3 linked regions of the Anolis sagrei genome follow. The protein of the gene in region 2 purifies or fractionates together with the protein of the main gene of each other region. This does not show direct contact. Links are inferred from orthologs where the notes say so. Each region holds a gene or a part of one and is shown on either strand. Other genes may lie near its edges. The genes, in order: PARK7, PRDX5 and PRDX2.

What was found.
Region 1: the proteins of PRDX5 (region 2) and PARK7 fractionate together in Homo sapiens (co-fractionation; 3 studies listed by BioGRID). This does not show direct contact. The link is inferred for Anolis sagrei from reciprocal best matches to the Homo sapiens genes PRDX5 and PARK7.
Region 3: the proteins of PRDX5 (region 2) and PRDX2 fractionate together in Homo sapiens (co-fractionation; 3 studies listed by BioGRID). This does not show direct contact. The link is inferred for Anolis sagrei from reciprocal best matches to the Homo sapiens genes PRDX5 and PRDX2.

Annotation. Positions count from the first base shown.
Region 1 is NC_090033.1:20,478,714-20,489,117, forward strand, and holds the start of PARK7 (Parkinson disease protein 7), read left to right. Parts: upstream 1-6,196; 5' UTR 6,197-6,274; coding exon 6,275-6,364; intron 6,365-8,410; coding exon 8,411-8,512; intron 8,513-8,781; coding exon 8,782-8,841; intron 8,842-10,404. Other genes in the region: TNFRSF9 (tumor necrosis factor receptor superfamily member 9), read right to left, coding at 1,919-2,025, 3,074-3,143, 3,238-3,369, 3,488-3,538, 5,913-5,991. UniProt on the Homo sapiens protein: Multifunctional protein with controversial molecular function which plays an important role in cell protection against oxidative stress and cell death acting as oxidative stress sensor and redox-sensitive chaperone and protease.
Region 2 is NC_090032.1:16,792,636-16,802,354, reverse strand, and holds the start of PRDX5 (peroxiredoxin-5, mitochondrial), read right to left. Parts: upstream 4,469-9,719; 5' UTR 4,386-4,468; coding exon 4,245-4,385; intron 558-4,244; coding exon 423-557; intron 1-422. Other genes in the region: TRMT112 (multifunctional methyltransferase subunit TRM112-like protein), read left to right, coding at 7,304-7,384. UniProt on the Homo sapiens protein: Thiol-specific peroxidase that catalyzes the reduction of hydrogen peroxide and organic hydroperoxides to water and alcohols, respectively.
Region 3 is NC_090022.1:111,619,781-111,629,927, forward strand, and holds the start of PRDX2 (peroxiredoxin-2), read left to right. Parts: upstream 1-6,258; 5' UTR 6,259-6,371; intron 6,372-10,147. Other genes in the region: RNASEH2A (ribonuclease H2 subunit A), read right to left, coding at 390-516.

The sequences.
Region 1 (10,404 bases), on a different chromosome or scaffold from region 2:
AGGTTGAGAAAGGTTGAGAACCACAGCTCTCGGTGGACTAGATGACCCTTGGAACCCTTCCAACTCCAGGGTTCTAGGCTCCTGTCATCTCTCTCTCTCTCCTGCTTACATCTCTCTGTCTGTCTGTCTGTCTGTCTCTGTGTCTCATCGATCAATCATCTGCCTATCTATTTACTTCTATGTATCATTTATCTATTGATCTATCTATCTATCATCTACCTATTAATCAGTCTGTCTCTATGTATCATCTATCTATCTATCTATCTATCTATCTATCTATCTATCTATCTATCTACCTACCTACCTACCTACCTACCTACCTATCTATCTATCTATCTATCTATCTATCTATCTATCTATCTATCTATCTATCTATCTATCTATCTCTATGTACGATCTATCAATCAATTAATCATCTCTCTATTTATCTCTAAGTATCATTAATCTATCAATCTGTCTCTATGCATCAGCTATCAATCTATCTGTCTCTATGTACCATCTCTATGGATCTATTTATCTATCAATCTGTCTGTCTCTATGTATCAGCTATCTATCGGTCTCTTTAGATCATCTATCAATCATCTGTCTATTTATCTCTATGCATCATCTATCTATCTATCTATCTATCTATCTATCTATCTATCTATCTATCTCTATGTATGATCTATCAATCAATTAATCATCTCTCTATCTCTATGGATCTATTTATCTATCAATCTGTCTGTCTCTATGTATCAGCTATCTATCGGTCTCTTTAGATCATCTATCAATCATCTGTCTATTTATCTCTATGCATCATCTATCTATCTATCTATCTATCTATCTATCTATCTGTGTGTCTCAGTGTATCATGTATCAATCATCTATCTATCTATTCTCTATGTATCATTTATCTATTAATCTGTCTCTATCTATCTATCTATCTATCTATCTATCTATTAATCATCTGCCTATTTATCTCTATGAATCATCTATCTATAATCTCTCTGTTTATTTCTATGTATCATTTATCAATTAATCTGTCTGTCTCCATCTATCTATCTATCTATCTGTCTGTCTGTCTGTTTGAATGTATCATCTATCAATCATCTGTCTATCTATCTTTATGTATCACCTACCTATTAATCAATCTGTCTCTATCTATCTATCGATCTATCTATCATCATCTATCTATTAATCTATCTGTCTCTATGTATCATCTATCTATCTGCCTGTCTCTTTATATCATTTATCAATCATCTGTCTATCTATCTCTATTTATCACCTACCTATTAATCAATCAGTCTGTCTCTATGCATCAGCTATCTATCTGTCTATCATCTCTCTATTTATCTCTATTTATCATTTATCTATTAATCTGTCTGTCTCTATCTATCTATCATCTCTCTATACGTATCATTTATCTATTAATCTGTCTCTATCTATTATCTATCTGTCTGTCTGTCTGGATGTATCATCAATCAATCATCTCTCTCTCTATGTATCTCTCTGTCTCATTTATTGGGGATCCCCCAGTAGCGGTGGGTCAAAGCACTGAGCTGCTGAGCTTGTTTACTGAAAGGTCACAGGTTCAAATCCGGGGGGGGGGGGGATGAGCTTCCGCTGTCAGCCCCAGCTCCTGCCAACCTAGCAGTTCGAAAACATGCAAATGTGAGTAGATCCATAGGTACTGCTCCGGCGGGAAGGTAACGGTGCTCCATGCAGTCATGCCAGTGGCCACATGACCTTAGAGGTGTCTACGGACAACGCTGGCTCTTCAGCTTTGAAACGGAGATGGGCACGACTGGACGAGTGCCTGTCTCAAGGGATTGGACGGGAAGATTCTGGGGGGTCCTCCGCCCCTCCCTCGTTCTTTCCCCCCTCTCCTCCCTCCCTCCTTCTCTGTCTATGGGGCAGGGGACCCCTCCCATTCTCTTACTGGAGGGGCTCCTTGGGTCAGGCTGGGTGGGGGCCCCCAGCTCCGGCTGGCAAACCACGTCGCTCTCCTCGGTCCCAGGCGTCTGGATCCGCAGGCCGGGGGGGCACCTGCGGAGGAGGAGCAGACAGGATTTAGCGGGGGGCGGGGGGGGCACAACCATGACTACCAGGGGGGCACGACAACAACGACACACAGGTCCACAGCCACTTAGCCCACTTGGCTGCTTGTATTTTTTTATTACAAAAGTGTGAGTCAAGCACTGTTAGAGTTAGTGAGCCAAATCGAGTGTTGTCCTGAGGAGTGTGAGGTAAACCTCTGTGTGAGAGAAGCCTCGTCTTACAATTCTATTGTTGGTGGGGTCCAGAATGGTCTTTGGTTGTAGGTGAACTATAAATCCTTGCAACTACAACTCCCAAATGACAACATCAACCCCCCAAATCTAGTGTTGTCCTGAGGAGTGTGAGGTAAACCTCTGTGTGAGAGAAGGTCTCTGTGGGAGAAGGGCCTGAGTATGAGAAGGCCTCAATGTTAGTTCACCTCAGTGGGAGAGAGCCCTCAGTGGGAGAGAGCCCTCAGCGGGAGACAGTTCTCAATTTTAGTACTCCTCAGTAGGAGAGAGCCCTCAGTGGGAGAGAGGTCTCAATGTTAGTACGCCTCAGTGGGAGAGAGCCCTCAGTGAGAGCGAGCCCTCAGTGGGAGAGAGGTCTCAATGTTAGTACGCCTCAGTGGGAGAGAGCCCTCAGTGGGAGAGAGCCCTCAGAGGGAGACAGTTCTCAATGTTAGTTCACCTCAGTGGGAGAGAGCCCTCAGTGGGAGAGAGCCCTCAGCGGGAGAGAGGTTTCAATGTTAGTTCACCTCAGTAGGAGAGAGCCCTCAGCAGGAGAGAGGTCCCAAAGTTAGTTCACCTCAGTGGGAGAGAGCCCTCAGTGGGAGAGAGGTCTCAATGTTAGTTCACCTCAGTGGGAGAGAGCCCTCAGTGGGAGAGAGGTCTCAATGTTAGTACACCTCAGTGGGAGAGAGCCCTCAGTGGGAGAGAGCCCTCAGGCTGAGAGAGCCCTCAGTGTAAGGTAGGCCTCAGTGTGAGGTAGGCCTCAGTAGGAGAAAGTCCTCAGTCTGAGAGAGCCCTCAGTGTGAGCAGGCCTTGGTGGGACTCACCGGCTCCAGGGGCGGCAGGGTCCTGAGGTCCCGTTGCTGAACTCCCCTTTGGGGCAGCGTTGGCAGCCGCCTGGCAGAGAAAGCAACAAGGAAGGGGGTGTCACGCAAGGAAGGGGGGTCCCACTGACACCATCCCCATCTCCCCCCCCCCACTGACCTCTGACCTTTCTTGGTGGGCTGCTGACCGTTTGGACAGTCGCACCGGACGCAGGTGTTGCCCCCGCACTCTCTTCCCGGGGGGCATCTGCAGACAGCGTTGGCCTCGGGGCCACAGGGACGCAGGTAGGAACGCCCTTCTGAGGCAGGAAGGAAGGAAGGAAGGAAGGGGGGGAAATGCAGAGGGGCTCACCAATCAATCAATCAATCAATCAATCAATCATAATGATTTTGTTTACACCCCAAGGAAGGACTCACGGTCACAGACGTCACAGGGGAGGCAGCCCTCGAGGGGGTCACGGTAGGAGCCTAAGGCAGGAAAGAAGAAGGTGAGGGGTTCTAAGCAGAGTCCGGATGGCCATCTGTCGAGAGGGGTCAGGTGCGGCCCTAGGGAATTTTCAGTCCCCCAACCAATCAGTGATATATATTTTCTGTTCATCGTCGTGGGAGTTCTGTGTGCCCTGTTTGGTTCAATTCCATCGTTGGTGGAGTTCAGAATGCTCTGTGATTGCAGGTGAACTATACATCCCAGTAACTACAACTCGCATACGTCAAGGTCTATTGCACCCCTGGGCAACATCAACTCTACCGCGACTGCTTACTTTGCGTAAGGGTTGCGCCGCCCCTGCCTCCCTGGCTTGTTTACATGGGTAAGGCTCCATGTCCCTTCGGGTCGCCTCTGCTGGCGTTCCTTAAGTAGAGCCTGGATGGCCATCTGTCGGGAGGGATCGAATGGTACCTTCCTTTAGGGCAGAAAGGGGTGGGACTAGATGGCCTTGAGGGAGCCCTGGAGAGAAATATACTCTGGGTGTGTCCCCTTCCCTGGAGGCTTTGAAGGAGAGGCTGGATGGCCATCTGTCAGGAGGGATCGAATGCTGCCTTCCTTTAGGGCAGAAAGGGGTGGGACTAGATGGCCTTGAGGGAGCCCTGGAGAGAAAAAAACTCTGGAGGTGTCCCCTTCCCTGGAGGCTTTGAAGGAGAGGCTGGATGGCCATCTGTCAGGAGGGATCGAATGGTGCCTTCCTTTAGGGCAGAAAGGGGTGGGACTAGATGGCCTTGAGGGAGCCCTAGAGAGAACTATACTCTGGAGGTGTCCCCTTCCCTGGAGGCTTTGAAGGAGAGGCTGGATGGCCATCTGTCGGGAGGGATCGAATGGTGCCTTCCTTTAGGGCAGAATGGGGTGGGACTAGATGGCCTTGAGGGAGCCCTTCCAACTCTAGAGATAACTATATTCTGGAGGTACCCTCTTCACTGGAGGCTTTTACATAATGGGCTGGATGGCCATCTGTCGAGAGGGATCGGGTGGGTAAGGCTGGATGCCCTTTAGGGACCCCTCTGCTGGGTTTTTTTTAATTGAGTCTGGATGGCCATCTGTCGGGAGGGATCGAATGGTGCCTTCTAACTCTACAGAGAAACATACTCTGGAGGTGTTCCATTCTCTGGAAACTTTTCAAAGAGAGGCTGGATGGCCATCTGTTTGGGAGTGATCGGATGGTGTGCTTCTTTGTGAGGTCTCTTCCAACTCTAAGATCCTATCTCTCTATTATTATTATTATTATTATTATGCAGAGACCATCTATTACACTATCTATTATCACTATTATTATTATTCAGCAGAGGCTGGGTGGCCATCTGTCAGGAGTGATTGAGTGGTGCCTCCCTCCCTGAGTAGTTTACATGGGTCAGATGGCCTTTAGGGACACAGTACTTTGCTGGCATTCCTTTCTCTGTAGGTTTCTAAGCAGATTTTTGGATGGCCATCTGTCGGGAGGGATCGAATGGTGTGCTTCTTATTCAGCAGAGGCTGGGTGGCCATCTGTCAGGAGTGATTGAGTGGTGCCTCCCTCCCTGACTGGTTTACATGGGTAAGAACAGATGCCTTTTAGGGACACAAGAGAGAAATATACTTTGCTGGCATTCCCCTCTCTGTAGGTTTCTAAGCAGAGGGTTGGATGGTCATCTGTCGGGAGGGATCGAATGGTGCCTCCCATCATTATGATTATTATGATTATTATTAAATGGCTGTTAGGGCCCCAACTCTATGTAGAATTATATTTTGGGTGCGTCCCCTTCCCTGAAGTCTTTGAAATAGAGTCTGGATGGCCATCTGTCGGGAGAGATCGAATGGTGCCTTCCACTATTATGATTATTATGATGATTATTATTATTATTATTACTAAAGGGCTTTTAGGGCCCCAACTCTATGTAGAATTGTATTCTGTGTGCGCCCCCTTCCTTCCCTGGAGGCTTCGAAGTAGAGCCTGGATGGCCATCTGTCGGGAGAGATCGAATGGTGCCTCCCATTATTATTATTATTATTATTATTATTATTACTACTACTACTACTACTAAAGGGCTTTTATGGCCCCAACTCTATGGAGAATTATTATACTCTGGACGTGTCCCCTTCCCTGGAGGCTTTGGAGTAGAGTCTGGATGGCCATCTGTCGGGAGGGATCTAATGGTGCCTCCTATTATGATTATTATGATGATTATTATGATTACTAAAGGGCTTTGAGGGGCCCAACTGTATGGAGAATTATTATCTTCTGTGTGCGCCCCCTTCCTTCCTTCCTGCCTTCCTTCCTTCCTTCCCTGGAGGCTTTGAAGGGGAGCCTGGCTGGCCATCTGCGGGGAGGGATCGAGTGGTGCCTTGGTTGAGGGCAGAAAGGGAGGGACTCACCTTCCGGGCAGGGGAGGGCGCCCACCCGCAGGAGCATCATCATCATCAGCAGAAGCCGCACCTCCCTCCCCAGCATCATCTTCCAACCGAGTGGGACCCACTCCGCGGGCGGGGGCCCTTTAAGGGGCGCGCGTGGGCTAAAGGGGAGGTCCTTCTCCCAGGAAGCCCCGCCCCTACTTCAAGGCCACGCCCCTTCAGCTGTCTCTCGCGCGCGGGGGAGGCGTGGCTTCGTGCCTGCCTCTAAATCCCCGCCCCTTTCTCTGTGGCCCCGCCCACTCCCGAGCCAGCGGAGGTGCGCATGCGCAGTTGAGAGGCCAGGCCTGAGCGGAGCCTGAGGGGCAATCCGGGCAGGAAGGTCCGCCATGGCTTCGAAGCGGGCGCTGGTGATCCTGGCCAAAGGCGCCGAGGAGATGGAGACCGTCATCCCCACAGACCTCATGCGCAGGGCAGGGGTGAGGCCCCCTCGGAGGGAGGGAGGGAGAGCGAGAGAGGGCCGCAGCACACTGCGCATGCGCGCCCAGGGGAACTCGAGGGGAGAGGGGGCCGCAGGCCACTGCGCATGCGCGCCTGGGAAAGAAGCCAAGCTTCCTTGGGAAGATCTATTTTTGGAGGTTGGAGGGTGGCCATCTGTTGGGAGGGCTCTGACTGTGCGTCTCCTGCCTGGCCGAAGGGGTGGGACTAGATGCCCTTTGGGGGTCTCTTCCAACTCTAGAGAAGTATAGGCTGGAGACCTGTGTGTGTGCAAATATAGTGTATATAGAGTGTTATTATTATTATTATTATTATTATTATAACTTTATTTGTCCCCCGCTAGCATCTCCCGAAGGACTCGATGCGGCTTACACAGGCCAAGGCCTCAAAACACAACATCACAATACAACACCTAAAGCAAATCAAAAACAGTTAAAGAAATATTAAACAACAAGCAATAAACAATACACCGAGACACAATAAGACTGGGCCGGGTCAGAGTAATGGGTACAGGATTAAAAGTGCTGCTGTGACAGGTGGTCTGTAAGGCTTATAGGGCAAATGCAATGTGCAATGTGCAGTAATCTTTGTTTCTTCTAAAGTACTTCTGGGACTTGGTATTGGAGTTTTCCTATTCGGGGAAGGCACATCAGAACAGCCAGGTCTTCAAGTTCTTCCTAAAGACTGCCAGCGAAGGGGCCTGTCTAAGATCTTTGCGGAGGGAGTTCCAGAATCGGGGGGCCACCACGGAAAAGGCCCTGTCTCGCGTCCCCACCAAACGCGCCTGCGATGCAGGCGGAATCACGAGCAGGGCCTCTCCGGATGAACGAAGTGAACGCGTGGGTTCATAAACTGAGATGCGGTCACACAGGTAGGCTGGTCCCAAACCGTTCAGGGCTTTGTAGGTGAGCACCTGCACCTTAAATTGGGACCGGAAAATAAACGGCAGCCAGTGGAGCTCCCTAAACAGGAGAGTTGACCTCTCTCTGTAAGGAGTCCCAGTTAGCATCCTGGCTGCTGCCTGTTGGACCATCTGGAATTTCCGAGCCGTTTTCAAGGGCAGCCCCACGTAGAGTGCATTGCAGTAGTCCAATCTGGAGGTGACCAAGGCATGGACCACTCCGGCCAGATCCACCTTCGCGAGGTATGGTCGCAGTTGGCGCATGAGTCTCAATTGTGCAAAAGCCCTCCCGGACACCGCTGACACCTGAAGCTCAAGCGTAAGCGATGAATCCAACAGGACTCCCAAACTGCAGACCTGTGGCTTCAGGGGGAGTGTAACCCCGTCCAGAACAGGTTGCCACCCTATACCCCGGTCAGGTTTGCGATCAACCAGGAGGACCTCTGTCTTGTCGGGATTGATCTTCAGCTTGTTCCTCCTCATCCAGACTGTCACAGCAGTCAGGCACTCGTCCAGCACTCAAGGGGCCTCCTTGGAATTAGGTGGAAAAGAGTCGTAGTGTCATCTGCGTAGAGGTGGCACCCAACTCCAAAACTCCGGATGACCTCTCCCAGTGGTTTCATGTAGTTGTTAAAGAGCATGGGAGACAGAATGGAGCCTTGCGGGACCCCACAGGTCAAAGGCCAGGGGTCCGAGCAGGCATCTCCCAGCTTCACTATCTGGGATCAACCCTCCAGGAAGGACCGAAGCCACGACAAAACCGTGCCCCCGAGACCCATCCCAGAGAGTCGTCCCAGAAGGATACCATGATCGATGGTATCGAAAGCCGCTGAGATGTCCAAGAGAACCAACAGGGTCACACTCCCCCCGTCCAGATCTCCCAAGATTCCTTGGGAGTCCCTCCGGATCCATCATACATAGTATTAACTTTATTTGTACCCCACTAACATCTCCCGAAGGACTCGGTGCGGCTTACATAGGCCAAGGCCCTCAATAAAACAACAGCATAACAAATACACAATAATATATATATATGTCTATATAGTACATGAAGTGTATAAGCAGTGTTTACATATAATAGGTATAGTATCCACCCATCTCTCTGTCTTTCTTCTTTCTCCCCCAGATCTCGGTGACCGTGGCCGGCCTGGCGGGGAAGGAGCCCGTCCAGTGCAGCCGCGACGTGGTCCTGTGTCCGGACAAGAGCCTGGACGAGGCCCGCAAAGAGGTCGGTCCTTCCAAGGAACAACCCAGTCGAAAAAGACCCCGAAGAGGGCCACCCCGCCCTCCCCTTCTGCTTTAAAGGCACCCTCCTAACAGCCATAGATATGAAGGGGGTCTGCTCTGTTATATGACTTGTCTATCATAGAATCCCCGTGTTGGGAGAGAGTAGAGGCCGGGTGGCCACCTGTCGGGGGTCAGAATGGATGGCCCTTGGGGGTCTCTTCCAACCCGGGAAGCCTTGCCCGCTGACTTCTCTTCTCTCCTTTCCTTCAGGGGCCGTACGACGTGGTGGTCTTGCCGGGAGGAAACCTGGGGGCCCAAAACCTCTCAGAGGTAAGCAGGGGCCAATGAGAAATACATTAAAAAGGTTATTATTATTATTATTGTCTTGTTGAAGCCTCTTGTTTATTATTTATTTGCAACCTTTCTATGCCGCCCTTCTCACCCCGAAGGGGACTCAGAGCGGCTTCCAAGGTATAGATTACATACAATATCTTATACAGGGTTAGTCAAACTGAATAGGCCACAGTAGGTTACAGTAAACATACATATTGGCCTATTCATTTTGACTAACCCTGTATTATTAGCGCAGTACAATATCAGCATTACACATTGCTATATTGCACCATAACACTATATCGTAATATGATCAGTAATATTAATTATATTAATATTAGTATGATGGCTTATCCAGGCATATCTTATTAGTATAGTACTGTATTTATTATTATTTTGGTATATTATATTATTTATTATTACTAATAATATTATGTTAAATATATTAATATTAGTATGATGGCATATCCAGGCATATCTTATTATTATAGAGCTGTATTTATTATTATTATTTTAGTATATAAGAGAAGGAAGGAAGAAGGAAAGAGGTAGAAAGGAAGGAAGAAAGGAGAGAAAGAGGAAAAGGAAAGGAAAGAGGGAGCAAAGAAAGAAAGAGAGAGAGAGAGTGGGAAGGAAAGACGGAAGGATGGAAGCAAAAAGGAAGGAAGGAAAGAGGCAGAGAAGGAAAGAGAAAGAGGAAAAGAAAAAGGGGGAAGGAAAGAAAGAGGTAGAGAAGAAAGGAAGGAGAGAAGGAAAGAAAAAAGAAATGAAGGAAAGAGGAAGTGAAGGAAGGAGAGAAAGAAGGAGGGAAGACAGAAGGAAGGATGGAAGCTAAAAGCAAATGAAGGAAGGAAAGGGAAAGGAAAAGAAAAAGGGGGAAAGAAAGAAAGAGGCAGAGAAGAAAGGAAAGAGAAGGAAAAGAAAAAGAAATGAAGGAAAGAGGAAGTGAAGGAAGGAGAGAAAGAAGGAGGGAAGGAAATATGGAAGGAAGAAAGGAAAGAGGTAGAGAAGGAAAGAGAAAGGAAAAGAAAGGGAGGGAGGAAAGAAGTAGAGAAGGAAATAGAGAAAGAAGTAGAGAAGGAAGGAAAGACAGAAGGAAGGATGGAAGCAAAAAGCAAAGGAAGGAAGGAAAGAGAAAGAGGAAAAGAAAAGGGAAGGAAAGAAGGGTAGAGAAGGAAAGAAAAAAGGAAAGGAAAGAGGGAGCAAAGAAAGAAAGAGAGAGGGAAGGAAAGACAGACGGATGAAAGCTAAAAGCAGATGAAGGAAGGAAAGAGAAAGAGGAAAAGAAAACAAGGGAAGGAAAGAAAGGTACAGAAGAAAGAAGGAAAGTAAAAAGGAAATGAAGGAAAGAAAGAAGTAGAGAAGGGAGAAAGGGAGGGAAGGATGGAAGCAAAAAGTGAAGGAAGGAAAGAGAAAGAGGAAAAGAAAAGAGGCAGAGAAGAAAGGGAGAAGGAAATGAAGGAAAGAGGAAGTGAAGGAAGGAGAGAAAGAGGTAGAGAAGGAAGAAAGGAGAGAAAGAAGGAGGGAAGACAGAAGGAAGGATGGAAGCAAAAAGCATAG
Region 2 (9,719 bases):
TTTGCTGTTGTAATTTTAGAGTTTTTTAATACTGGTAGCCAGATTTTGTTCATTTTCATGGTCTCTTCCTTTCTGTTGAAATTGCCCACATGCTTGTGGATTTTCCCAGGCTCAGACAGGCCTTCAAATGCTAATGAAGGTGGTCAGTTGAAACATTCACACCTAGCTCCAGCAGAGAAGAGCTCTGCTGATATTGTACTATCCTAATAACATAATATATTGTATGTATGTGTGTGTGTGTGTATATATATATATATATATCTTGAAGCCACTCTGAGTCCCCTTTGGGGTGAGAAGGGCGACATATAAATACCATAAATAAATAAATAATATGTCCCATAACCGTGTTAGATGTGGGATTCTGGAAAAGTAAGACTATATATTCAGCGTCTATAAGGAGAAATACACCGAGTCCTACTCACTTTTGAACATCCTGGAGTGAATGCACCGGGGACGCCAAAGAGGATGCCCTTCTTTCCCTTGAAAAGGCTGGCAATGTTCACTTTGGCGCCAGGGTCACCCTCATAGACTTCCACGCTGGGCAATTTGTCTCCAACCTGTCCAAATGAGGAGACAAAAGATTCAGGGCTGGGTCCATTTCAGCGACTTGGCAACAAGGCAAGGAAAAGGACATTTGTCCAAAAGAGAGAAGTACTAGGCTTTCTAGATATTCTTCTTTGTTTACTTTACTTAGGCGATCCCTCATTGTTCGAGCATGATGGCCTTCCAAGTGTACTGTCTTGGTGGTGGATCCATAGGGGACTGTGGAGCTCCCGCAGTGAGGACATCACTTTCCAGTTGGAAGACGGTCCTCATCATGGTTGGCTTGATGCACCTTCCTCTTGGCACGTTTCTCCCATTTATTTATTTATTTCGAGTATTTCTACCCCGCCCTTCTCAACCCCCAGGGGGGGAGGGGGGACTCAGGGCGGATTACAACCTGCACAATTCGATGCCACATTCAACAAAGTAAAAATATAACAATTATAAACAGTTAAAACATTCAAGTAATACAATAACAACTAAAAAGAATAACCAATCTAGTGGCCAACGTTCACCGAGTTCTAAAATCCGTAAGTCCATTCAGCATTATCCTTTCCAAACTCTGGTCGTCATTGCCTTGTCGGTCTGGCATATTACCCAAAGGCCTGGTCCCATATCCATGTTTTCAACTTCCTTCTGAAGGAGAGGAGGGATGTCGATGACCTAATTTCCCCCGGGGAGTGAATTCCACAGGCGAGGGGCCACCACCGAGAAGGTCCTGTCCCCCGTCCCCACCAGTCTCACTTGTGGTAAAGGACTTAGGCTTGGGCAATCCATGGTTCTAAATGGTTCTAAAGTACTTACAAAACTAAAGTTCTGGTGGTGAAAATTTCAGAACTCTAACAAAACTCTCAAAATTTCATAATAAATGGCAGTTCCTAATTGGTTCTGTCATTAAAATCACCAATAATGAAATAATAATTAAATTTTGAAAGTTTTGTTAGAGTTCTGAAATTTTCACTACCAGAACTTTAGTTTTGTAAGTACTTTAGAACCATTTAGAACCATGCATTGCCCAAGCCTAAAGGTGGGACCGAGAGCAGGGCCTCCCCAGAAGATCTTAAACTCCAAGATGGGACATAGAAGGAGATACATTCGGACAGGTACGCTTTTGCCCTCCATTTGTGCCTCTTCAAATTCCTCAGCACTGCTGGTCACAGCTGACCTCCAGCTGGAGCTCTCAAGGGCCAGGGCTTCCCAGTTCTCAGTGTCTATGCCAGAGTTTTTAAGGTTGGCTTTGAGCCCATCTTTATTTATTTATTTAGAAGTTTTCTATACTGGCCTTCTCACCTCGACGAGGGACTCAGGTCGGTTTACAGCATATATAAAATACAATCATATAAAGAACAACAAGTGCAAAGTCATTACATATTAAAATAGTACAATACAGTACAATAAAACATCATCATCACAATTACCTAAGCCAAATCGTCAATCCAGTCATGGTCATAGTCATACTTGTAGTCACAGTTCATCATAATTCATCACAGGGGGAGGTTCTAGATTCAGTCCTCAAATGCCACATTCCAAATGTCTTTAGTAATTTCCTGAATGTCAGGAGGGAGGGAGCAGATCTGATCTCTAGTGGGAGGGAGTTCCAAAGCCGGGGAGCCACCACCGAGAAGGCCCTGTCCCTTGTCCCCACCAACCGTGATTGCGAGGGTGGTGGGACCGAGAGCAGGCCCCCCCTGGAAGATCTTAATAGCCTTGATGGTTCATAGGGGAGAATCCGTTCGGACAGGTAAACTGGGCCAGAGTCGTTTAGGGCTTTATAGGTCAGAACCAGCACTTTGAATTGTGCACAGAAGCTGATCGGCAGCCAGTGGAGCTGGCGTAACAGAGGGGTCGTATGGTCTCTGTACCCCGCTCCTGTTAGCAATCTGGCTGCCGCACGTTGGACTGATTGACGCTTCCAGGCAGTCTTCAGAGGCAACCCCACGTAGAGAGCATTGCAGTAGTCTAAACGCGATGTAACCAGAGCGTGGACTACTTTAAATCTCTTTTCGTAGGATAATCCTCCAGGGTGGGTCCGTAGGTGGCAATGGAGCCCTATTCTTGACCTGCATCTTCTCCTGCAGCGAGGGCATTGGTTTCCAGGTGAAAAGCGGTCCCAGTTGGGGTTGGCTTGACGCGTCTTCCTCTTGGCATGTTTATTTCTTCCTCCATTCATGCCTCTTCAAATTCTGCAGCACTACTGGTCACAACTGACCTCCAGCTGGAGTGCTCAAGGGCCAGAGTTTTTAAAGAAAAAGGAATGTTGGTGGGAAGGAAAAGAGATTGAAAGATGGGATCAAAGCCAACCTTAAAAACTCTGGCATTGACCCTGAGAACTGGGAAGCCAGAGTTTTTAAGGTTGGCTTTGATCCCATCTTTCAATCTCTTTTCCTTTCCACCCACATTCCGTTTTCCATTCTTGAGATCGGAGTAGAGCAACTGCTTTGTGAGACGGTGGTCGGGCATCCGGACAACGTGGCCAGCCCAGCGGAGTTGATGGCGGAGGACCATTGCTTCAATGCCGGTGGTCTTTGCTTCTTCCAGCATGCTGACATTTCCCCGCTTGTCTTCCCAAGAGATTTGCAGGATTTTCCGGAGGCAGCGCTCATGGAATCGTTCCAGGAGTTGCATGTGACGTCTGTAAACAGTCCTTGTCCTGCAGGCATATTTGAAGCCATAGTTCCGCGTCCTAGTCTTCAAGGAAACAGAAAACAAGTTCTCCCCCTCCTCCCTCTCACATATTTATCCCTGGCCTTCTTCATGTCTTCTCAGGCTATTTAAGCCGCTCCTCATAGGGCTTGTTCTCCAGATCCCTCCTTTTTACTCCACATTTTCGCTTATCCAACGTTCTGCTCTTGGCCCGTTTATGCTGGAGAAGAGACTACTGTACATAATCCCATACAGAAAGGCTTCTCTTCTTCTCGGGCTCTTTAAGCCGCTCCTCATAGGGCTTGTTCTCCAGATCCCTCCTTTTTAGTCCACATTTTCGCTTATTTTCGTTGATGTTGGAGAAGAGACTACTGTACATAATCACATACAGAATGGCTTCTCTTCTTCTCAGGCTCTTTAAGCCGCTCCTCATAGGGCTTGTTCTCCAGATCCCTCCTTTTTAGTCCACATTTTCGCTTATTTTCGTTGATGTTGGAGAAGAGACTACTGTACATAATCCCATACAGAAAGGCTTCTCTTCTTCTCGGGCTCTTTAAGCCGCTCCTCATAGGGCTTGTTCTCCAGATCCCTCCTTTTTAGTCCACATTTTCGCTTATTTTCGTTGATGTTGGAGAAGAGACTACTGTACATAATCCCATACAGAAAGGCTTCTCTTCTTCTCGGGCTCTTTAAGCCGCTCCTCATAGGGCTTGTTCTCCAGATTCCTCCTTTTTAGTCCACATTTTCGCTTATTTTCGTTGATGTTGGAGAAGAGACTACTGTACATAATCACATGCAGAAACTACAATGCACAATAGACATAAATACACACACACAAAATATGGTATTCCAGCCCTTAAGAGGAATGCCTCACACACAGTCAATGCAACTCGAGAAGGGCCTGAGTGAGGCCTAGGCCTGGAATGCCTCCTGAGGAGGCATTCCAGGCCTAGGCCTCACTCAGGCCCTTCTCGAGCCTTTGCCAACTCTAATGACGGCTCCCGGAGGGGCCAAACCGCGTTAACTCTCCGGTGTGGACCCGCCCCGAGGCGACTGACCTTGAGGGCGGCCATGGCTGCTGCTCCGGTCCCGAAATACCGGCCCTTCTGCGCTCCACGGATGCCGAGGAGTGGGGCCTGCACCAAAACAGCCCTGCCTGCCAAAGCCAGCACCCCCGCCCCTCGCCACCCCGTTGCCATGGAAATCGCAGGAGTGACGGCTGCTGCCCTGGCAACCCCGGGCCTGCCTCCCAAGTCTCCCTCTCCCCTCCGGAGGGCGGGTAGTCAGGGGGCGGGGCCAACGCAAGGGGCGGGGCCTGGGGTGGCTCATCTGCATCTCATTTGCATGAAGTACAACCACGTGGAAATGAACACAATCTGCCGACCAGTATTAAAAACCAACCTCTAAAATCAGCATGGTAAATAAAGAACAACGCTCAGAAAAACAGGAAATAATCAGGGCCAGCTAACCTCCCCTGAAAGGATCCTCCCCCCAGGCAGGAAGCAGCCGGGCTTTGAAGCTGCAAGGCTATTCAATGCTAAGGCTTTAAAGCTGTAAGGGTATTCAATGCTAAGGATTCCCCCCAGGCAGGAAGCAGCCAAGCTTTGAAGCTGCAAGGCTATTCAATGCTAAGGCTTTAAAGCTGTATGGGTATTTAATGCTAAAGATTCCCCCAGGCAGGAAGCAGCCAGGCTTTGAAGCTGCAAGGCTATTCAATGCTAAGGCTTTAAAGCTGTAAGGCTATCCAATGCTAAGGATTCCCACATTCAGGAAGCAGCCAGGCTTTGAAGCTGCAAGGCTATTCAATGCTAAGGATTTCCCTCCAGGCAGGAAGCAGCTAGGCTTTGAAGCTGAAAAACTATTCAATCCTAAGGCTTTAAAGCTGTAAGGCTATTCAATGCTAAGGATTCCCCCATTCAGGAAGCATCCAGGCTTTGAAGCTGCAAGGGTATTCAATACTAAAGATTCTCCCCAGGCAGGAAGCAGCCAGGCTTTGAAGCTGCAAGGCTATTCAATGCTAAGGATTCCCCCAGACAAGAGATAGCCAGGCTTTGAAGCTGCAAGGCTATTCAACGCTAAGGATTCTACACGCAGGAAGCAGCCAGGTTTTGAAGCTGCAAAGCTATTCAATGCTAAGGCTTTAAAGCTGTAAGGCTATTCAATGCTAAGGATTCATCCAGTCAGGAAGCAGCCAGGGTTTCAAGCTGTAAGGGTATTCAATGCTAAGGATTCCCCCCAGGCAAGAAGCAGCCAGGTTTTGATGCTGCAAGTCTATTCAATGCTAAGTTTCCCCCATTCAGGAAACAGCCAGGTTTTGAAGCTGCAAGGCTATTCAATGCTAAGGATTCCCCCAGGCAGGAAGCAGACAGGCTTTGAAGCTGCAAGGCTATTCAATGCTAAGGATTCCCCCAGGCAAGTGTCAGACAGGCTTTGAAGCTGCAAGGCTATTCAATGCTAAGGATTCCCCCAGGCAGGAAGCAGCCAGGTTTTGAAGCTGCAAGGCTATTCAATGCTGTAAGGCATTCAATAGCTGTACGGCTATTCAATGCTAAGGATTCCCCTCCCCAGACAGGAGACAGCCAAGCTTTGAAGCCACAAGGCTATTCGATGCTAAGGATCCCCCCCCCAGACAGGAGACAGCCAGGCTTTGAAGCTGCAAGACTATTGAATGCTAAGGATTCCCCTCCGCAGACAGGAGACAGCCAGTTTTTGAAGCTGCAAGGCTTTTCAATCCTAAGGATTCCCCCCCCCAGACAGGAGACAGCCAGGCTTTGAAGCTGCAAGGGTATTCAATGCTAAGGATTCCCCCAGGCTGGAAGAAGCCAGGCTTTGAAGCTGCAAGGCTATTCAATGCTAAGGATTTCCACCCAGGCTTTGAAGCTGCAAGGCTATTCAATGCTAAGGATTTCCCCCCAGGCTTTGAAGCTGCAAGGCTATTCAATGCTAAGGATTTCCACCCAGGCTTTGAAGCTGCAAGGCTATTCAATGCTAAGGATTTCCCCCCAGGCTTTGAAACTGCAAGGCTATTCAATGCTAAGGATTTCCACCCAGGCTTTGAAGCTGCAAGGCTATTTAATGCTAAGGATTTCCACCCAGGCTTTGAAGCTGCAAGGCTATTCAATGCTAAGGATTTCCCCCCAGGCTTTGAAGCTGCAAGGCTATTCAATGCTAAGGATTTCCACCCAGGCTTTGAAGCTGCAAGGCTATTCAGTGCTAAGGATTTCCACCCAGGCTTTGAAGCTGCAAGGCTATTCAATGCTAAGGATTTCCACCCAGGCTTTGAAGCTAAAAGGCTATTCAATACTAAAGATTCCCCCAGGCAGGAAGCAGCCAAGCTTTGAAGCTGCAAGGCTTTGAAGCTGCAAGGAAATATTAGGGTTAGATATGAGAATAATATCATAATAATCGGTTCAGGGAAGTATAGTATAATAATAATAATACTCAAGAATCAATCAAAAATTAGTTCAAAAAGATATAATAATACTCGAGGCATTGGTTCAAGAAGATATAATAATATTGTAATAGTATAATGCTCTAGAAATGGTTCAAGAAGATCTAATTCCTGACACGAAACAATCGGGGCCAGCTAAAACCTCCCAACAAAGGATTCCCCCAGGCAGCAACCAGCCAGGCTTTGAAGCTGCAAGGCCATTCAATGCTAATCAAAGTGGCCAATTGCAACATTCCCACTTGCCTCAAGCAGACAAGAGTTCTTTCTCCCACCCTGGGCATTATTCTACTAAAACAAACAAACAAATAATCATAAATAATTATTATTTTATTGAAACATTTCGTTGATATTATATTTTATATATAGAACATTGTATATGTTATATTAACATTGCATTTTAATATTATATTTATTTATATATTTTATTTCATTTATTTAAATATTTAAATAGTGGGGATGTTGGTTTAAATGAAATATTACAACCCGGAACGGTGTCGCATTTAGATCTGGTTTCCCGTACATTCGATATTAGCGTTGCACTAACTCACCGGAAGTGTGTCGAAATTAGCCGCCGGAAGTGAGAGGAAAAAGGGGGCGTTAGAGCGGTGGAGTGGCGGCACGCATGCGCAGACGGTTTCCCGGCCCGGCCACCGGCGTCGTGCGAGGATGAAGCTTTTGACGCACAACATGCTGACTTCTCACGTGCGGGGCGTGAAGCCCGGCGGCGGCTTCCCTCTTCGCATTCAGGTGAGGGCGGGGCGTTCCCAGGCCACGCCCCCTTGATTAGCATTGAATGGCCTTGTACCTTCAAAGCCTGGTTTCTTCCTGCCTGAAGAAGTCCTTTGTTGGGATGTGTTAACAGGAATAAGCCAGGCTTTGAAGCCGCAAGGCTGAAATAATCTTCAAATCTATGGGGAATTTGGGGCAAATCCTACGCTGTGTTGCTGTGAGGATTTCCAGGTTGCCTGGCCATGTTCCAGAAGCATTCTCTCCTGATGTTTCGCCCACATCTATGACAGGCATCCTCAGAGGTTGTGAGGTTTGTTGGAAACTAGGACAATGGGGTTGATATATCTGTGGTGGGAGAAAGAACTCTTGTCTGTTGGAGGCAAGTGTGGATGCTGTAATTCGCCATCTTGATTATAGCAAAGAATGGCCTTGTATCTTCAAAGCCTAGCTGCTTCCTGCCTGAGGAAGTCCTTTGTTGGGATGTGTTAACAGGAAGAAGCCAGGCTTTGAAGCTGCGAGGCCATTTATTGCTAATCAAGGTGGCCAATTGCAGCATCCGCACTTGCCTCCAACAGACAAGAGTTCTTTCTCCCACCCTGGACATTATTCCCCCAGGCAGAAACCAGCCAGTCTGTGAAGCTGCGAGGCCATTCAGTGCTTATCAAGGTGGCCAATTGCCGCATCCGCACTTGCCTCCAACAGACAAGAGTTCTTTCTCCCACCCTGGACATTATTTCCCCGGGCAGAAACCAGCCAAGTTTTTAAGCTGCAAGGCCATTCAGTGCTAATCAAGGTGGCCAATTGCAGCATCCACACTTGCCTCCAACAGACAAGAGTTCTTTGAAGGTCCAAGGTGAGAGAAAGAACTCGGTGATAGTATGATAGGTGTGTACGGAAGCTCCGAGCGTTACGGAGATGCCGCAAACGCGGCTGGGAAAAGCGAAGAGAGGGAGCGGAGGGAGAGCGGGGAGAGCAAAGGAAGGATAGAAAGGAGGGGATGCTTGGGGTAAGGGTTAGGGCAGGGTTAGGGGTTAGGGTTAGGGGTTTCAAACTGCCAACCTAGCAGTTTATATAATATTATATTAAGGGCCGCTCAGTGGCACAGCGGGTTAAACCGCTGAACTTGCTGACCGAAAGGTCGGCGGTTCAAATCCAGGGAGTGGCGTGAGCGTCCGCTATTAGCAGTTCGAAAAGCATGCAAATGTGAGTAGATCAATAGATCTGGTGAGAAGGTAACGGCGTTCCATGCAGTCATGCTGGCCACCTGACCTAGGAGGACAACGCCAGCTCTTCGGCTTAGAAATGGAGATGAGCAGCAACCCCCAGAGTCGGACATGACTAGGTTTAATGTCAAGGAGAAATCTTTACCTTTACCTTTTACGGTTAGGGTTAGGGTAAGGTTTAGGGTTTGGGTTAGCGTAAGGTTTAGGGTTTGGGTAAGGGTTTGGGTAAGGGGTTAGGGTTACGATTCTGGTATGGTTCAGGATTAGGGTAAGGGTTAGGGTTTCACAATTAAAGAACTCTGGCATTCCTTCTATATTATCTATCTCCGGCCTGGCTTACATTAGCTAATAATAATAATAATAATAATAATAATAATAACAACATTATTATTATTATTATTATTAATTACATTAGCTAATAATAGTAATAATAATTACATTAGCTAATAATAGTAATAACATTAATAATAATAATTATTACATTAGCTAATAATAATAATAATAATAATAACTGCAAAAGGCCACCTGACTTGGATCTGTGCGCATCATTCGAAAATACATCATACAGTCCTAGACGCTTGGGAAGTGTTTGACTTGTGATTTTGTGATACGAAACCCAGCATAGAGATCTCGTTTGCTGTGACATACTGTGCTTTTGTGACAGTAAAATAATAATAATAATAATAACAATAATAATAATAATACATCACACAGTCCTAGACGCTTGGGAAAGGTTCGATTGTGATTTTGTGATATGAAATCCAGCATCTAGATCTTGTTTGTGATGACAAACTGTTTTTGTGTCAGTAAAATAATAATAATAATAATAATACATCACAGTCCTAGACGCTTGGGAAGGCTTCGACTTGTGATTTTGTGATACGAAATCCAGCATAAAGATCTCGTTTGCTGTGACATACTGTGCTTTTGTGTCAATATAATAATAATAATATCACACAGTCCTAGACGCTTGGGAAGGGTTCGACTTGTGATTTTGTGATACGAAATCCAGCATCTAGATCTCATTTGCTGTGACATACTGTGCTTTTGTGTCAGTAAAATAATAATAATAATAATAATAATAATAATACATCACAGTCCTAGACGCTTGGGAAGGGTTCGACTTGTGA
Region 3 (10,147 bases), on a different chromosome or scaffold from region 2:
ATGAGCAGTCAGGCTTTGTTTCCTGAAGTATGGACTGGTTGGATCCATGCATTATCTCTACAGCAATAATTATTATTATTATTATTATTATTATTATTATTATTGTAGAGATAATGCAGTTTGATCCCACTTTGACTACCATGGCTCAGTGCTATGGAATCCTGGGAGATGTAGTTTAGTGAGGCACCAGCACTTTTTGGAAATGAAGGCTACAGATTGTAAAACCACAACTCCCTTGATTTTACATCATGAAGCCACGGCAGTGAAAGTGGGGTCCAATGCATGACTTGTACAGTGCAGATGCGCCCGAAGACCTGCCTGCCTCCTTGTTCGTGCATTTCTTTGCTGGACCAAAACATTCCCTCCCTGGGCTGCAAGGCTCCCCTTACCGAGCACGGGCCCCCTCCCGGCCTCATCGATGCCCAGGCAGCAGGGCTGGGCGCGGCAGGCGGCGGGCGCAGAGGAGCCCAGCAGGCAGCTCACCGCGTTGTCCTCCTCGAAGGCGCCCAGGTCCATCTTCCGAGCCGCGCGCCAAGGAAACGCCGAGGGGGAACCTGCACCGGAAACGGAGAGGCAGGAGCGCAGGCAGCGCACAGCCTTCTGGGAGTCGTAGTTCGTGGAGCAAAGATGCTGCGCCACCTAAGTGCGGTCCAGCCAGTGCAGAAGCAGAGATGCTGTTCGGGTCCTGTAGAACAGGCATAGGCAAACTTGGGCCCTCCCTCCAGGTGTTTCGGACTTCAACTCCCACAATTTGTAACAGCCTACCAGCTGTTAGGAACACTGGGAGCTAAGTCCAAAGCACCCGGAGGGAGGGCCCAAGTTGGCCCAGGCCTGGTTTAGTCTGCCTGGTTGTCTACAGTAGGAAGTAGCTGACCAATTATAGATAAAGAGGCGCAGATATTACACAGACAATCTACAGGAAAAGAGAATAATGGATCATAATTGAAACTAAAGGCAGGTCAGGCAAAGGAAGAAATTAGATTTGGATAAAAGCAGGCTGTTAATGCTGGAAGAATTGAAGGTTGCCAAAATTTGCTACTTCACCAAAAATGTCTTGTCCAGAGTTTTATTAATCATAGGCTCAGAGGGGTCATTTCTAACACTGGCTACTATTGAAATGGAGTTACAGGCCCCTTCCACGCAGCTGAATAAAATCCCACACTATCTGCTTTGAACTGGGTTATGAGTCCACACTGCCATATATTCCAGTTCAAAGCAGAAAATGTGGGATTTTTCTGCCTTGATATTCTGGGTTTTATGGCTGTGTGGAAGGGCCCTAAGGCCCCTTCTACACTGCCAGAAAATCCAGATTATCACAGCAGAAAATCCACATTATCTGATCTGGATTTTATACACCTATGTAGAAGGGGCCTAAATAATCCAGTTCCAATTAGATAATGTGCATTTTCTGCTTTGATCACCTGGATTATCTGGCAGTGTAGATGAGACCAGGGTCAGACTGAAGCTGAGTTTCCAAGGGGAATATGATGCGATTCCATAGACCCAATTCAAATCCCAATCACCTGACCTGCCCTTTTGACTAAAGCCCCTTCCACACAGAAGAAGAAGAACTTTATTTTTCTACCCCACCTCCATCTCCCCGAAGGGACTCGTGGCGCCTTACATGGGCCCAAGCCCAAAAAACATACAATTAAAACAAGGCAAATAAAAATTAAAAGCGTGTGCAACGAACATCGTAAGCAATAATAAACAGACATCATAAGCAACAACCAGAAATACTTCTAGTCTCGGGGGGGGGGGGGGGGGGGGGGGAGCTGGTGTACAAAGAAGTTGGAGAATAGGCTGGTCAAAAAGATGGATAGAACATATCACAGCATAGGAATACAGCAGTTGTAATAGGATCATTTCAGCTTAAAAATACATTAATCAAATACAGGAACTTCTTTTCAGGCCATCTGTCAAAGGGATCATTTGTCAAAGAGATTGTCAATCGAATGCACAACGGAACATCCGTGTTTTTAGTTTCTTACAAAATGTGGATAGGGAGGGTGCTAACCTGATCCCCCTGGGGAGGGAATTCCAGAAACGAGGGGCCACCATCAAAAATGCCCTTTCTCTCATCCCCACCAACCATGTCTGAGACAGAGGTGGGAGTGAGAGAAGAGCCTCCCCAGAAGACCTTAGAGACCACGTGGGCTCGTAGGGGAAGATAAGGTCATGAAGATAGACAGATCCCACATTATTTGCTTTAAACTGGAATATATGACAGTGTAGACTCAACCCAGGGCCCTTCCACACAGCCCTATAACCAAGATTATCAAAGTAGGAAATCCTACAATATCTGCTTCCACACTCAAAGCAGATCTTGTGGGATTTTCTGCCTTGATATTCTGGTATATAGGGTTGTGTGGAAGGCCCTTATAGAGATCAACACAGTCAATGGCACTGCAAACCAAGAGTTTTAACAGTACCAACTAAACCACACTCCCCCATATGTATCACATTAATCCAACAAGGCATCAAAGCCATCTCTCTCCCACAGCTGGGCCTGAAACCAAACTGAATTGGATCTAGATAACATGCCTCATCTGTGTTGTCTCTGACAAGTCTCATCTGTGATGATGCTATGAAGCTGTTAGACCAAGCATGAAACCTACTCTGGCTGGTAGAAGCTCTTTTTGGCCCTGTTCCCCTGAGATCCTATTAGGTTTTAGAGGCAAGAAATGCTCTGAACTGAGATTTTCTCAATACAAGGCAGATTATTAACTACTGAAGCATGTTTTTCTTTTGCTACCCTACCCTGCACCCACAGCATTGTTTTAAAATTCACAACATAAAAATGATGGCGGTAATTTTTCACAAAGCAACTGAATAAATCTTGCCACATAAATGCTATATTAGGGTTGTCACAAGTCAGGCTCAACTTGAAGGCACATACCAACAACAAATCCATGGGAGAGAACTCAAGAAAGGTGTTACCCCCATACATTTCTTGCATGCATGGAATTTCAGAGGTATGAATGACTCTCTGTGTAAGGTTCCTTTCTTTGTTTTTCCTGGCTAGTCTCTTATACTTTTGTTCAAACGAAATCCAGCTGATGAAGTTTTCTGAGCATACCGAGCAGACATTCGCCTAAATGCTATTGTTAGTGTCAACAAGTGTAGATCCATTGAGGCCCCTTCTACACGGCCATATAATCCAGATTAACTGCTTTGAACTGGATTATATGGCAGTTCAAAGCAGATAGTGTGGATTATCTGCTTTGATAATCTGGATTATATGGCAGTGAAGAAGGGGCCTTAATCAGCGGGGTTCCTCTGGTCCCTTCCACACAGCTGAATAAAATCCCACATTTTCTGTTTTGAACTGGGATATGTGGTAGTGTGGACTCAGATATATAACTCAATTCAATGCAGATACTGTAGATTATATGCCTCGATATTCTGTGTGGAAGGGCTGTCAGTTGACTCACTGCTCTACTAATTATTCAATGGTTCTGAGTTCCTTGTAGAAGTACCGTAAAGATGACTGTCATCTTGTGGTGACCCCATGGATTTCACAGGGTTTTCTTAGGCAAGAGATACTTAGGGCCCTTCCACACAGCCATATAATCCAGAATATCAAGGCAGATGATCCACAATATCTGCTTTGAACTGGACTATCTGAGTCCACACTGCCATATAATTCAGTTCAATGTGGATTTTATACAGCTGTGTGGAAGGGGCTTTTGTAAAGAGTACCTAGTAGCATTTGGGTCAAGATGTACAAGGCATCCGTAACCAGAGGTGATGGATGAGGCTGCCATTGTTTCTAGAAGGAAATTTAGCATCATGGGCTAAAGTCCAACACTTCAGCTTAGACATGTAAAGTGATGCTGAGTTTGACCTGTTGAATGCCTTTCATTATCGCAATACAGTTTGGGTTAGTAGAAACTAACCTAACCCTTCCACACAGCTGAATAAAATCTCACATTATCTGCTTTGAACGGGGATATATGGCAGCATGGACTCAGGGCCCTTCCAGACAGGCCTTATATTCCAGGACCTATCCTAAATTTTCTGTTTATCCCAGATTATATGGCAGTGGGGACTCATATAATCCAGTTTAATGCAGAAAACCTGGGATCAGATCCTGGGATAGAGGGCCTGTCTGGAAGGGTTCTCAGATAACCCCGTTCAAAGCAGATATTGTGGGTTATTCTGCCTTGTTATTCTGGGCGCCCTTCCACATAGCCCTGTATTCCAGAATATCAAGGCAGAAAATCCCCCAATATCTGCTTTGAACTGGGTTATCTGAGTCCACACTGTCACACTTTATATTCTTTGTTATATGGCTGTGTGGAAGGGCTCCAAGTCCACACTGCCATATAACCCAGGTCAAAGCAGATAGTGTGGGTTTTTCTTCAGCTGTGTGGAAGAGGCCTTAGGGCTCTTTCACATAGCCATACAAAACAGAAGATCAAGGCAGAAAATCTCACAATATCTGCTTTCAACTCGGTTATCTGAATCCACACCGCCATATATTCCAGTTCAAAGCAGATGTGGGATTTTCTGCCTTGATATTCATGGATAATAGGCTGTGTGGAAGGGTCCTTAGTAATATGGTTGTGTGAAAGGGCCTTAGGGGTGCTTTTATCCTGTTGAATGGATGCAGCTTGACACCACTTTCACTGCAAGGACTCCATGCCATGTAATTCTGGGATTTGTAGCTTGGTGAGGTACCAGCATTCTTTAGCAGAGACCTTGTAAAATGACATATTCCAGGGCCCTTCCAAACAGCCCTATATCCCATAATATCAAGGCAGGAAACCCCACAATATCTGATTTGAACTGGGTTATCTGAGTGTGGACTCAGATAACCCAGTTCAAAGCAGATATTGTGGGATTTCCTGCCTTGATATTATGGGATATAGGGCTGTGTGGAAGGGCCCAAAGTAGAACTTGTGGGCATGTCTCTCACAGCATCTCAAGCCTATATAAACATTCAAATGTAATGAACCATAGTCCTGAATCGTTCAAGGTCCTAGTTCTAGAGGTGGTTACATCCTCCTCAAACACAGATTTATCTACTAGACTACAACAATGTGAAGCCTTCTGGATTTTTACTCTTAAAACTGTGCATCCTAAGGGACTAAACGATTCCATTTCATTTCAGTGTTTTATGTGAACCGGTGCATGCCTCTTTAAACAGGTTTTTTCTTATGAGTAACTTACTGTTGATGACTGGGATACATCCACACTGATAGCTATACCAGGCCCTTTTAAATTTCTCTTCATATACTTTAAGTTTCTCTATATATCCTGGAGTTTCTACCTGTTTCTCCTGGGCTTGCCATAGAATCATATTAATAGCAGAGCACTTTTGTAGGAGAACTTATGTGAATATTTTTTGTTCCTGTTCTGTATGCTTTCACAACATTTGGTAATTGCTCTCGTATACTATGTGTTTTAGCCACTCATATTTGTTCACTTTAGGACCACATCATTATTGACATTAATATACTGACTCTACTTGAAGAATTCTCCACTTGGTAAAACTGACTATTTGTGGATTTCTACGTGTATCAACTATCACCTGACGAAGATTTCACGTAGTCAAAACCGGTTGTGGTTTATAAACTGTGGATTCCAAAAGGACTGATAAACTTTGATTTGCTGTTGACAAACTTTGGTTAAAGAAGGACTAACAAACTTGTTCATTCTGCTGTAGGAATCAGCTGTTTACTCACATCAAGAAGTTCTGGATTAAGAGACTTGCAAAAAAGACTTGCAAACTTTGATTTGTTATTGAGAAGTGTATTGTAGGTCCTTTTTGGTTTTCAAAAGGACTGATAAACTTTGATTTGCTGTTGACAAACTTTGGTTTCAAAAAGAACCTACAAACTTGTTCATTTTGCTGTAAGAATTAGTTGTTTATCCCACATAAGGAATTTTTTTGGTTTATAGAATTACATGAAGTATACTTTGTACGAGATGCTAGTACATTTAATGTTATAGTACTATAAGCATAGATATGATATACATTATTCTGATTATATATAACTGCATTACTTTTTGGTGTATAGTGGCCTTCTGCCCTTGTATTTCGGGGAATCCTTGCTCTCCACTGTGTGGAAGGGTCCCCAGGATGCTATAGAATTGAGCCCTGGCGGTGCACAAATTGCATTCATGCTACAGTGCTGCACCCTGGGTGCAATTCCACAGGTGCTGCTGGCTTTGTCCCCCAAGGATCCCAACCCATCCCTTGGGTCGCGTGCGCCGCGTGAAGGGGCCTGGCTCAGGCCCCGCCCACCGGCCCCAAGCCCCGCCCACCCCCTGCCATCCCGCTTGCTATAAAAGGGCCGCCGCCTCCTCCTGCGCCAGGAGTGGTCCAGGTTCGCCGGGTGTCTTTTGAAGTCGGCTTGAGTGAGGTAAGGCGTGGATGGGCGGTTGCTCCAGTGCAGGGGCTTGGCTGCAGGTACATTGTTCCGAGGTGCGAGGCGTCCCCTCCGAGAGGCCTGGCGGTGGGCCTGTGAAGGGCCTTCCTTTGCCATCCGCCTTCTTCTCCCGACTTTGCTGGGTCTTCGTTTCCCGCGTGGACCGGCCTTTCAGTTCCAGCGCGTGACGCCAGAATGGGCTGCTGCTGCTGCTCCTCCTGGCAGCCAGGCCTCGTACGCCTTTGTCTCAAAGAGGAGACAGAGGAGGAGGAGGAAGAGGGGGGGCTTTCGGAGGCGGCCCTCCTTTTGCAAAAAAGCGAGGCTGGTGGTGCTCCTTTTGTAGCCCTCCTTTCGTTTCGAGGAGGAGGCGGGGAAGGCCTCCTTGCTGCTAAGCTGTCTTACTAAGGGTCCTCCTTTTATAGCTCCTTTCTCTCCAACGCCCAGGCCGCACGTGCAAAAGCTCTCTTGTAGGGTGCATCCACACAGCCGAATTAATGCAGTTTGATCACCCTTTGGACTGCCAAGACTCCATGCTATGGAATCCTGGGATTTGTGCTTTGGTGATGCAGCCAGACCTTGTGAAAGTGCAACACCTATAGCTTTTGAGTCAAACTGCATCTATTCCACAGTGTAGATCAGACATGGGCAAACTTGGATCCTCCAGGTGTTTTGGACAGCCTATTAGGAATTGTGGGAGTTGAAGTCCAAAGCACCTGGAGGGCCCAAGTTTGCCCATATCTAGTGTAGAAGGACTCCTAATCTGAATCCCTCATTGAATACTGCTCCTACGAATAAGCTACTCCCCTTGGGGCTCCAGGCAAGGTGTCTAAGCTCTTAAGCTCATTGAAAAGGCCCTGAAACAGAGCTTTGAGAGAATGATTGAATTCTTGCATTCTTTTTAACTGAAAGTGCAGAACAAAAATTTCAGGTGTGCAGTTGGGTTAGGGACACTTTCAAGTACTATTGAAAGAGATGAATGGAAATGGGGCCCCTTTGGGACTCTTTATCTCAAATGGGTTAGATCGGGCAAGGGCAAACTTGGGCCCTCCAGGTGTTTTGGACTTCAACTCCGACAATTCCTAGCAGAAGATCGGGCCCTTTCCTTTAAGCAGCTGAGGGGGGAAAGAAAAGGGGCCCAAGGCTGCTAGGAATTGTGGGAGTTGAAGTCAGAAACACCTAAAAGGCCAAAGTTTGCCTATGCCTGGGTTAGATGGTGGAGTAGTTGGACAAAGGCATCAAGTGTGGGTTGATGTCTGGGATTGCATCTACACCATGGCGTTAATATAGTTCAATACCACTTTAATTGCCAAGGCTCAATGCCATGGAATCATAGTTTATTTCAAGGAGAAGTATAAAGACCTTGTAAAACCACGACTCCTGTAATATTGAGCCATGGCACTTAAAGTGGGGCCAATTTATATTAATGTAACTGTAGAACAGGCATGGGCAAACTTTGGCCCTCCAGGTATTTGGACTTCAACTCCCACAATTCTTAACAGCAAGTAGGTTGTTAGGAATGGTGGGAGTTGTAGTCCAAAATACTCAGAGGACCAGAGTTTGCCCATGCCTGGTGTAGAATGAGGTTATGCATTGTTACAGCTTTGAGTCCCCCCAGGGGTGAGAAAGGTGGTATATAAATACTGTAAATAAATAAATAAGAAAATCACCCCTGGATTTTTTATCTCCTTATCCTTCAGGCTCAAAACTAGAGTCACAATTCAGTGAAATCTCCCCATTTCTTGCCTTGTTCACACTGGCTGTGCCAGTAGCTGCAGATCGGATTAAGCACACAATGGCGTTGCCTTGTCTTCCTCCAGACTTCACCCATTTAAGCCGGTAGGGGCTGTTAGATTACTCTGCAAAGCCTCCTCCTTGATCTGGAGGACTCTGATAAAGGCTTTTGCAACACCCCTCTCCCCATCTTGAGATTACTTGTTTGTTATCTAAGGCTGTCAAAATACCTTTCTCTTTAAGGGATTTAAAGAGCAGGGGCCTGCCACTCACTGATGAGGCCTAGGTTGTTGCACTTAAGCCTTAGATAGGGTTGCACCACAGCTTAGTTTCATAGCACACTGCACTGTTGTTGCACTAATTTAACTGCTGCGACAGCATCTTGTGGAATCCTAGGATTTGCAGTTGGTAGGCATTTACAGCCCAGAAAGTTATTGGACCCCATTAAACTATAAACCCCAGACTTCCTCGAGATGTTACCTTGGTAGTTAAAATTGAATATACTGCTATAATAGTGTATTGTGATAAAGACTTTAGCTCTGAAATGTGTTGGATATTTTGAGACAAGACTAAACTATGGGCCACATGTCCAGCACCCAAACCACCTGCTACAGAGGAGAGGATTGTGGAAGAAAGAGTCTTGGATGTTGGTCTAGTTCTGACTTTGGGATGCCCAACCAAAGTCACTTTGGGTGTATCTAGACTATAGAATTAATGCAGTTTGACACCACTACAACTGGCTCAGTACTCTAAAACCCTGGGATTTGTTGTTTGTTGAGTCATCAGCACTTTTGACAGAGAAGGCTAAAAGCCTTGAGAAACTACAGCTCTCCATAGCATTGAGCCATTGCGGTATATAAGTAAGGTAAATAAATAAATAAATAAATAAATAAATAAATTGCAGTTAAAGAGGCCTGCATCAATAGGAGTCTAGTGTCTAGATTCAGGGGAGTCATGCTACACTTCTGTTCTGCCTTGGTCACACCACATCTGGAATACTGCGTCCAATTCTGGGCACTACAATTGAAGGAGATGTTGACAAGCTGGAATGTGTCCAGAGGAGGGCGACTAAAATGATCAAGGGTGTGGAGAACAAGCCCTATGAGGAGCAGTTTAAAGAGCTGGGCATGTGTAGCCTTCAGAAGAGAAGGCTGAGAGGAGATATGATTGCCATGTCTAAATATGTGAGTGGAAGTCATAGAGAGGAGGTAGCAAGCTTGTTTTCTGCTGCCTTGGAGACTAGGACGCGGAGTAATGGCTTCAAATTACAGGAAAGGAGATTCCACCTGAACATGAGCAAGAACTTCTAACTGTGAGAGCTGTTCAGCAGTGGAACACTCTGCCCCGGAGTGTGGCAGAAGCTCTTTCTATGGAGGATTTTAAATAGAGGCTGAATGGCCATCTGTTGGGGGTGCTTTAAATGCAATTTTCCTGCTTCTTGGCAGAATGAGGTTGGACTGAATGGCCCACGAGGTCTCTTCCAACTCTAGGATTCTATAGGTATCAAACTACATTAATTTTACAGTGTCAAGGCACCCTCTTTGTCTATTAGTTCTTTCTCATCAGTGCAGTTTCTCAAAGCGCTTTCCAGCATAACGATTCCTGGTGGTGATAATGTTCCTTTTTCTTCTGTCCCAAGTTGCTAACACGGTGGGAAATCTTTTCCCAACACGAGTGAAGTGAAAAGTCAACAAACTAGTCCTAGCGGTTCCTGTCTCCACCACAAGTAGGCCTTTTGCAAGGCTGGGGAATATTTAATGCCCATTCAACATCATACTCCAGAATAATTTGCTTTGGAGCAATAGGGCTTCCAATATAGATGCTGGGGTTGCTTAATATGCATAACGGAGCTGGACCTCTTTCTGAAGTTGCCAAAATACTGAATGAGTCACGATTCTTTGGAGAATTTTGCAAGCAGCTTGAGCTAAACTATATAGAAATCTCTGCTCATGCAAGTTATGCCAAGAGAAATGAGAGGAGAATGCAAAGTGTGAATAATAAGGCATAAATGTCCAGGGAAATATATCCTTAAATTTGAG